Tribolium castaneum: one gene and its partners. The protein of the gene in region 3 interacts with the protein of the main gene of each other region in a pairwise test. Links are inferred from orthologs where the notes say so. Each region holds a gene or a part of one and is shown on either strand. Other genes may lie near its edges. The genes, in order: lwr, Su(var)2-10 and Sumo.

Region 1 (4,120 bases), on a different chromosome or scaffold from region 3:
ACTAGAGTTATTTTAAGGTTCTTTTCATAAGCTCTCACTAAACCTAAATTTATTCGTTTACAAAATATTACAAAATGTTTTTAATTTTTTTTTGGATTTGCACCTTCCAGTTCAAAAACTGATAACTCTACCACTTTTAAAAGATTTTAAATCTTTTTCAGCTTATTTAAAAGAGGAAGCCTAGAACTTTCCTTTGGCGTTTTCAAATTTCTAAAAAAGAATAACAAATAATTAAGTTATAGGTACCTGAAATTGTCCAAACTTAACCTTAAAATTTTTGGGTTTATTAACTTCATTTTCAATTTTAAACACACCAAAGAACAGATAAAGGCCTTCTTTTTTAATTCTCCTAATATGATTTCCAAATCGCTAAACTAACCGAGTTACCAATTTTTTAAGTGACAGGTGCAAATCCAAAAATTTTCAAAAAATCTTAAATATCCTAAAAACGGTAAATTTTAGGTATAGGGAAAACTCTTAAAATAACTCAACTAATCCAAAAACGCAGTGAAAAACATAGCTTTTCATTTAAAATAAGAAAGTTAACAGCGACTTCCGGTATAACCGGAAATGCTGCCATCTTGAAAATATTTTCATTGGCAGAACTTAACGGATTATGATTGACTACCAACTTTTAAAAAATTTCTTTATTAGAGCTTTCAATACTTCTAAAGTAAGGTTTAGACGGAACAGCCTGTAGTTTACCATAAATAACAATAAGCACTGAAACCTTTAGCCTGTATTTGAAGAAAACGCAATTTAAAGTGCACCCTCAAACCAATGTATCTTTATGGGAAAGCCCCGAATCTTTATTTTTTTCTGTATTTGAACTACTGAATTAATTTCTCTTTAGTGTTCTGAACTCCGAAATCGTCAATTTTGAGCCACCTTGTATTTTACGGTTTATTGAACCTAATTATTAATTTTTTGCAGCCTTGAAACTCATTCAGGAGGATTTTGACCAAGAAAATGCCAAGATCCAGGCAAAAGTTGATTTGCAGCAAGTGACGTCGAACTAATCAAATTCGCGCCAATGTTTTTGCCGCCAAATAATTATTACACAAATCCGGGTTTTTGTATTCGTTAAATTTGTTTAAAATCATACACGAAAAGTTTGAATAAATAAATTGTTCTGGAACAAATAATCGGCGACAGGGTGGCCAACACAAGTCGCGTCTGCGCGAATTCCCCTACCTGTTTTCCCAGTTTTTGTCTGTCAACTGTCAAGAAAGCACCGAAGCCCGTTAAATTTTCCTTTAGAGTTTGAATAAGGCCCCATTAAATACCCCAGTGCCCACTTTTAGAGTACGTTTTGGTCATTTCGTGCGATAATTTTGAGGTAGAGCCTGATTTTTAGTTCTAGGATGTCTGGAATTGCTCCCGCTCGTCTCGCCGAAGAACGCAAAGCTTGGCGCAAAGAACATCCTTTTGTGAGTAATTCCTTACAAAATTGCCCTCATGTAATCCATTTCTCCGCAGGGATTTGTGGCCCGACCGTCGAAAAACCCAGATGGCTCTCTAAATCTAATGAACTGGGAGTGCTCAATTCCTGGTAAAAAAGGGGTAAGTTTGTTGCATTGTTTAGTAATTGTTGGGTTATCGCATTGTTGTGTAGACGCCATGGGAGGGTGGAAATTACAAATTACGCATGTTGTTCAAAGATGAGTACCCAAGCATTCCCCCAAAATGTAAATTTGAACCACCGTTGTTCCATCCAAATGTGTATCCGTCAGGTACGGTGTGTTTGTCGTTGTTAGACGAGGAGAAAGATTGGAGACCGGCGATTACTATTAAGCAGATTTTACTCGGAATTCAGGACTTGTTGAATGAACCCAATGTTAAAGATCCAGCACAAGCAGAGGCCTACACAATCTACTGGTAAGTGGTTTTTTTACGGGGTGTTTACATTTGACGTAGTCAAGAGTGCTGTGGATATTGTGATCACGTGATCAAGGAAATTTCGTATCTAGTAATCCATGAAAATGAAAACTTAGTTTCGTAAAGAAAAGGCACTAAGACAATAAATGGACAAGGTTACACTACGGACATCTAAAGGTTAGGATACGAAATACAAATTAGTACAAATAAAGCGTTATTGTCCTCGATAGTTCCGTTAATGTCACCAGAGGGCGCAGTTGATCCATTAGCATCAAAGCCAGTAGATATACTAAAGTAGCGACACGGACCTTGACAGGGCAACAATAACGATTATATACTCTAGAGAGGGCGCAACTATCGAAATTCGACATATACCGCATTATTTACATAAAATGCGTAGCCTTGAAAAGCCTTAGTAAGTGCGTTTTGTCTCTGTTTCTACGTTTAATCTTCACTAAATGAAATTGCTAAAGGGGATGCTCTAAAGAGATATTCGTTAAAGGTCACATTAGATGATAGATTTAAATCGAGAATGTATTTAAACAGGCAGTTTAGTTTTCCAAGGCTCGACATTTTTTGTAATAACGCTGTAATTTTAAAGGTTCGCCAAATTGTCAGTAATTTTGAACATACGTCAAAACTGTCAAGATTCTCTCACTTTTGAAAAATTGGTAAAGAGCACAGTGATTCTGGCGTTCATCTGTAGTTTTACTGTGGTTATTGGTTATGAACAGATTTCATGGAACTTTCAAACCTGTGCTTAAATCACGTAAATAATAAATCGACACCAAAAACATTAAACAAAAGGGCCTCCAGACTGTTCAAAGTCGTCCACATTACGAAGCACGTCTGTGTGAGAATACTGGAAACTCATTCAAACAAAAATTGTTTCAGAAACATAAAGTGTTAGGTACCAACTTGAAAGAGAAATTTCTAAGATACCAAATTTTCAATAAGTATTTCAGGTAGATTTAAACAATACTTCCTTGAAAATTCTTCTAAATTATTAGATTCTGTCCTAATGGGAAAGAATTTAAGACCGCTCTGCTTACACTGACCTTCGTTTCACAAAATTTAATGCATCTAAATCTGGGAATTGTAGCGCATCGAAGTTTGGTGGACTTTTTATAGCCACTTATTTACAGCAACTATGGTATGCAACATTTAAATAATAAAGAGAAATTCAGGTTGTATTATTTCTATTTCTTAGGTAATATCGAGGTGTAAACCGTACCCCAAATTTTGTACACCTGTAATTTAATCATGATTCCTTCTGATTTTTCCCTAAATTTTTAAAGTGATTTCCTTAAAATTTCTTGATTTACTCAATTTTGTACACTGATTTCCTCTGCGGTTTACCTCTCGGGTAATATTGAAAACATTTTCTATTCTTATTGCGAAAAATGTCTTGGTTTCATAGCAGTTGTTAATAGTGTTGAGGGAAAAAATTAAATTTAATTAAAAAAAAATAAATCGACCAATTTAAAATCTTGGAGTAATTACATACGATAAACTGTAAAAACACTTAGAGAGGAGTTTATTAAAATTAGAAATGTAAGTATCACAATTTTTTTAAATCAAACAACTATTATTTTGAAACGTGTTTTTGGCTTTTTCGTTAAATACAAAGTTCAAATTCTTTTAAGGAATGAATTCACTGTTGAAGCGCCAGCACCTTCTTCGAAATGTCCATAAGAGTTGCTGTATTCTGCGCATTCTAAAAGCCTTTCTCATTGCAATGTTCAGTTGAATTTAGGGACGATCTGATTTACTTTTACGTGAGTGAAGCACAAGTTTGAAGGTTTCATGGTATCTGTACACATAAACTGTAATAACCAGGGTGAAATTAAAGACGATCACCGAATTCATTGTTCTGATTCACCAATTTTTCAAACGTGAAAAAATCTTGACATTTTTGACGTACGTTTTTGAATTTTGATGGTGGAGCCATCTGTAGAGTGTATAATCGTTATTGTTGCCCTGTCAAGGTCCGTGTCGCTACTTTAGTATATCTACTGGCTTTGATTAGCATCAGGTTTTCAGAGCAATGAATTTAAAAAAATTGTTGGTAAATTTTTACTTTAGCTACTTCTGGATTTTTGAAAATTTTTTTTTTGCATTTTGCTTTAAAAAGCCTCTAGATCAAAGATATGACCTTGAAAGTTTGTGCAAATGCCCCGTTTTTGAAAAATTCGACCTTGAATGACCTTGACCTAAAAATTTTTTTAAAATTTTTCCTTTA
Region 2 (2,172 bases), on a different chromosome or scaffold from region 3:
AGTACAATTGAGATTCTGTCTGTTGGAAACAACATGTGAACAAGATGATTTTTTCCCGCCGAATGTCATCGTCAAAGTTAACAATAAACCATGTCCTCTACCAAACCCAATACCAACAAATAAGCCGGGGGTTGAACCGAAACGACCACCAAGACCGGTTAACATAACGCCAATGGTTAAGTTAAGCCCCATCGTGGCCAACATGATTACGGTGTCATGGGCGCCGGATTACGGACGAGGGTATGCCATTTCAGTGGCGTTGGTACAAAAATTAACTTCGTCCGATTTGTTGCAACGGTTGAAGGCCAAAGGACCCAAACATTCCGATTATACGCGTGGATTAAGTAAAGTCGTGTTTTGGTCCGAGTGGCGTCAGTTAACTCGATTATTATTTTAGTTAAAGAAAAATTGAAGGAAGATGCGGATTCTGAGATCACGACGACTTGTCTCAGAGTCTCTTTGATCTGTCCTTTGGGCAAAATGCGCATGACGACACCGTGTCGTGCCATCACGTGCAATCATTTGCAGTGTTTTGATTCGTCGTTGTTCCTACAAATGAATGAGAGGAAGCCGACTTGGACCTGTCCAGTGTGTGATAAACCGGCCCTCTACGATAATCTAACCATTGATGGGTAAGCTGTTTTTTTGAGACAGACCGATTACAAAAAAAAAATTCAGTTATTTCCAGGAAGTGTTAGCTTCGCCTAACCTCCCACCTGACTTGAACGAGATTCAGTTACACAAAGACGGCTCTTGGAGCACCCAAGTGTCCGATAAAAAAGTGACAAAAAGTGAACACGTGCCGATCGATGACTCGATTGAAATAATCGGCGATGACATTGGTAAGTCACCACTCGGCTCCGCCTCGTCTCACCTCCCCTTTTAGAATTAGTCACGTCAGGCACAACTGCAACTTCCTCAACTGATAAGTCAAAAGACGATAAATCGAAGGATAAAATCGTCGATTTGACGTGTTCCGACTCTGATGATGACGAGCCGTTGGCGAAACGTCGCGTCGTTAACCCGAAGCCTGACTCGACCATCAAATTCTCAGGTGATTTGAGGTAATGCTGTTGTTGATTGTTAATTGTTTGTTTGTGGTAACTATAGATACGACCAGTATTTCGTCAAGTAGCAACCAATCGCGTGTGACTACGACTCCAGGTCCGTCGAGTGTTTCTAGTTCCGGATATCCGGCGAGTCCGTCAATTATTACGTTGGATAGTCCGTCCCCGCCCCGTTCGCCGAATCAGGCCAATCAGCAGCCGGCTTCTTGTATGTTGGCCAATCAGAACGGGACTGGGAATGAAGCTGCGTCGCTGTTCACGCCCGGTTCGATGCCGTTTTTGGATTTGGAGAACGAAGCGAGTGCTAATATGAATTATACAACCGGGTATTAAATTCAAAGTTACCGTTAAGTCAAAAGTTAATTTAATTTCAATAAACGTATTTTTGTACATAAGTTAGTGTTAATTAAGCTTAATGAACTTTTTCTCAGTAGTGTGTTACTCCAGTTAGGTTGAATGTCTTATTTTTCTATAATTGCAGGTTTTTTATTTATAATTGTTTCATACCTATTTGTTTTTTGTGAAAACTATAAGTCGTAATAAATCTTTTTTTGATAAAGTTCGTGTTTTATTTACATGGTTGAAAATACACAACAAAAAACATGGAAATATTTAAATAGTTTGTGTTAAAATATCTGCAAAAGATGGTCAGTAGCTGGGGCCTAGTGGCCCAGTGGTATAAGCGCCACTTACGACGGGGGAGGTCGGGTGTTCGAACCCGGATCAGGGTGAAAATTTTTCTCTGAAAAAAAGTGTAGAAAAGGAAGGTGAAACAACACGTAAACAAAAATAAAAGAGGAGAACACATAGACGTATAAACGTAAAGCGGAATTTAAAAAAAATGCTGGAACGTCATATTTAAACCTACTTGCATTACAGTTGTAAATAACATTTTAACGATCGTTTTAGACGTACATATGAATGTATTTTGTTAAATAGAATATCAATTTTTTAAGCTGTATAACTGGTTGCATAATATTTATTGAGACGTTTAAATTTTTAGCCAAATTTCTTTGCCATTATCTTATCAAACACCCGTATTGTTTATAATAATATTAAAAATTAAAGCCGAGATAAAAATAAACAATTTCCTGATAAGACTTGT
Region 3 (3,064 bases):
TCTTTATTAAGTTATTTTGAATGATACAAACAAACAAAGATAAGGCAAAGACATTAAACATATTTTTATACTTTTTTACGAATAACTTAACGATTTTTTTTCAACTACTCGGACACCTTTCACATTTCATTGACAAAAGTGTGATTCCCTATCATTTTTGAGAATGATGTGTCGAAAGTGCCCTAAATTTGTTCCACACCATTGTATAATAAAATAACTTGTATTTTTTTAAAATATAAACAATAGGGGTTGTGACATTGGAAACGCTATTTTTTTCTGATTTCATATACCGGGTGCATGTATCTATTTGTATGGTACACAATTTTTAAATATTAAATATCTTTAGAACACATATTTCTCTTTGTAGTTGGTCATCAAAAAATTTTGAATCTTCATTTAGAACTAGTAGTATCGGGTACTATTTATACAGGGTGCTCAAAAACTGGCGCACCAACTCAGTGGTACGTTGTTGAGAAGCATGTGTAGATAACGGGAAAAATATTGCAAAAATTCCTAGTCATATTTAAAAAAATCTGGAGCTACAAACTTTTTTTGTTAACTTCTTCAGTTTTCATTATTTTTTAATGTTTTTATGTTTCGCACTAAGTAATCATTCCCTAACAAAACGATGAATAATTATTTTTAAATTTCCTACGACTTTAGCACTTTTTTTTAAAAATAATATTTATTAAAAAAAATAAAATTCAAAAAAAATCACAGTTAGTAGATGTGCCAACACTGGGAATTATTTCCATATCCACATATCATTTATCTAAAATCCGTTATTTATCAATAACTTTAATACAAAGAATTTTTTTACTATTTATACCTTTATATGTAACCAATTCTCTTCCACACTCCATTGAGTTGGTGCGCCAGTTTTTGAGCACCCGGTAGTTTCACGATTTTTTAATCATTTAATTTTAATAAAACTATGAGGCGGTTGTGTATTTGTTCGATTAATAACATTAACATACTATATAATTTCACATTTTTTACTACAATAATCGTTCACCTTTTACGTGAAATACTTTTCCCATAGCCAACTACTATTAAACATTCATTATGTTTTTTATCAAAAGTACTATGTAAAAATATCGAATTGCATTTATATCTTTTTCAGAAAAAAATAAACTTTTCTTAAATGTCACAGTCAACTATAATTTCTGTTTAAAAAAATACATCTTATGTTATTATTATAGATAAGTGAATGAATGGTTAAAATAATCGTCAACAACATTATTGAATTTTTCTAATTTTTCGTCTATGTATCTTTTATAATAAGGAAGATACGTTTTTTTTTATAATTTCCCTAAAATGTCAACTTGTTTGTAACTCAAAATCATAAGACGATTGCAGGATGCAGTTTTGACCAAAAGTATTTTCTTAAAAACGTTCTCGAGAATGTTTCACTCGTTTTTCTAAACCTCTTAGTTTCAGGGGTGCCCTATTCGGACTTCCAAAATTACCCCCTTTTATTCTTCTGTTAATTAAAAATAAAAAATAACTTGAAATTTAAATAGGAAATAAAATAAAAACAAATTACTGATAATTACAAAGAAAAAGCTTCATTTTATTGTTCTTGCATTATTATAAAGGAGGTGTTGTTTTTTGCATATTTTTTCAATAATTAAACATAAACCCTAACATAAAAATAAAATAAAAAATAATGTTATTACTCAAAAAGTCAACAACCAATGATGTCATAAATGTTACTATGGTGTAGCATTTACAGAAATAAAATCGACCTGTTTGAGGATTCTTTAAAAATTACAGATAACCTATGATTATTAACCAGAGTTGTTGTTTTTTTTTTTATAAATTATTAAAATTGCGTTCCGAGCTCATCACGAAGAAAAGGTCTCTTTTAAGTGATTTAACATTTTTATTGTACACTAGAGAGTGTTTGGGGTTTGGTTTGAGTCTATGGTGACAGTGACTGGCTGAATCTTTAGTGTAGTATTTATTACAAAAATGAATAGTTTGAGTTGTGCTGCAGTTGCAAAGTTTTGCTTTTTTAATTGCAGGGCTTGAGCATGCAGGTCGTGAGGTTCCGATTTGATGGAACCCCAATCAACGAGACGGACACTCCAACATCCCTCGGGATGGAAGAGGGGGACACGATCGAAGTGTACCAGCAACAAACTGGCGGATATTGTTAAAATTAATTTTATAACGCGGCTTACCTTGTAATTACCGCTAGCATTGAGAATCTCCCAGTGTTCGTGGTCAATTTGAGGTAGTTTATGTATAGATTTAAGCTAGTTTCTAATATAATTTTTAAGGTTAATCGAAAACAATACTACTTAAATGAGCACTTTTTGTCGCGTTTTCAATGTCTAAATTCCTGTACCGCAATGATTTTGTTTTCAGTTTTAGTGAAACTTCAGTTGTGTATTTCTTATTCTTAAATTAAAATAATACAATTCTTTTGATAACTTAGGGGATTTTTTATTGCCTTAATGTTTTTTCGATTTTTTCGTTTTTACAGTTTTTTCGGTTTGGCTCTTGTGAGTGAACACTTGATCACCACTTGACCTGAAATGTAGATTTCCATATACAGTGGCGCCCAACAAACATATTAGGCTAATTATGGCAATTGTCTCTACCCTGTTTGGTAGAGGGACACCACAGGCTGTGTACCAATAGGAGCCTTCGGACGGGGGCTTGCCTCCAGGTAAACAATGCCAATCGAAATATTTCTCATCGTAATCTGTTGCGCACAAATATCTTCGTTTTTGTAACGTCTGAAAATTATTATTTATTGATTTATTTCACTTAAGAAATATCTCACCATTCCGAATGCGGTTTGAATTGGCACATATTCGTCACAAGGTCCGATTGGTTCTTTAACACCCATCGCAATTTCATCCTCGGGGTTGAAAAATATAGGAATAATCAAAAAACTGATATAGTGTATGAATAAATGGGCGATCAATAACCAAGTACTCCAGTATGTAGTGTGTTGATTATTTTTCGCCTCAACTGTATCTTTCGGAGTGCGATCAGCCGACCATATAATCAAAAGGAAAATCACAAACAGTATGAAAAAAGTGACTTCAGA

The links.
Region 1: the proteins of Sumo (region 3) and lwr interact in binary tests that used the Caenorhabditis elegans proteins (3 or more experiments, as listed by UniProt). The link is inferred for Tribolium castaneum from reciprocal best matches to the Caenorhabditis elegans genes smo-1 and ubc-9.
Region 2: the proteins of Sumo (region 3) and Su(var)2-10 interact in a two-hybrid assay, tested with the Caenorhabditis elegans proteins (2 studies listed by BioGRID). The link is inferred for Tribolium castaneum from reciprocal best matches to the Caenorhabditis elegans genes smo-1 and gei-17.

Annotation. Positions count from the first base shown.
Region 1 is NC_087399.1:9,253,895-9,258,014, reverse strand, and holds the start of lwr (SUMO-conjugating enzyme UBC9-B), read left to right. Parts: upstream 1-1,157; 5' UTR 1,158-1,305; intron 1,306-1,357; 5' UTR 1,358-1,364; coding exon 1,365-1,430; intron 1,431-1,479; coding exon 1,480-1,563; intron 1,564-1,615; coding exon 1,616-1,878; intron 1,879-4,120. Other genes in the region: transmembrane inner ear expressed protein, read left to right, coding at 934-1,019. UniProt on the Caenorhabditis elegans protein: Accepts the ubiquitin-like protein smo-1 from the aos-1-uba-2 E1 complex and catalyzes its covalent attachment to other proteins with the help of an E3 ligase such as gei-17.
Region 2 is NC_087396.1:21,167,149-21,169,320, reverse strand, and holds the end of Su(var)2-10 (E3 SUMO-protein ligase PIAS2), read left to right. Parts: coding exon 1-344; intron 345-397; coding exon 398-632; intron 633-678; coding exon 679-842; intron 843-886; coding exon 887-1,054; intron 1,055-1,110; coding exon 1,111-1,400; 3' UTR 1,401-1,626; downstream 1,627-2,172. UniProt on the Caenorhabditis elegans protein: Functions as an E3-type smo-1 ligase. Mediates smo-1 conjugation to air-2 in vitro and is required for proper chromosome alignment.
Region 3 is NC_087394.1:15,056,842-15,059,905, forward strand, and holds the end of Sumo (small ubiquitin-related modifier 3), read left to right. Parts: intron 1-2,027; coding exon 2,028-2,162; 3' UTR 2,163-2,442; downstream 2,443-3,064. Other genes in the region: uncharacterized protein LOC659449, read right to left, coding at 2,460-2,747, 2,795-3,064. UniProt on the Caenorhabditis elegans protein: Ubiquitin-like protein which can be covalently attached to target lysines as a monomer. Does not seem to be involved in protein degradation and may function as an antagonist of ubiquitin in the degradation process.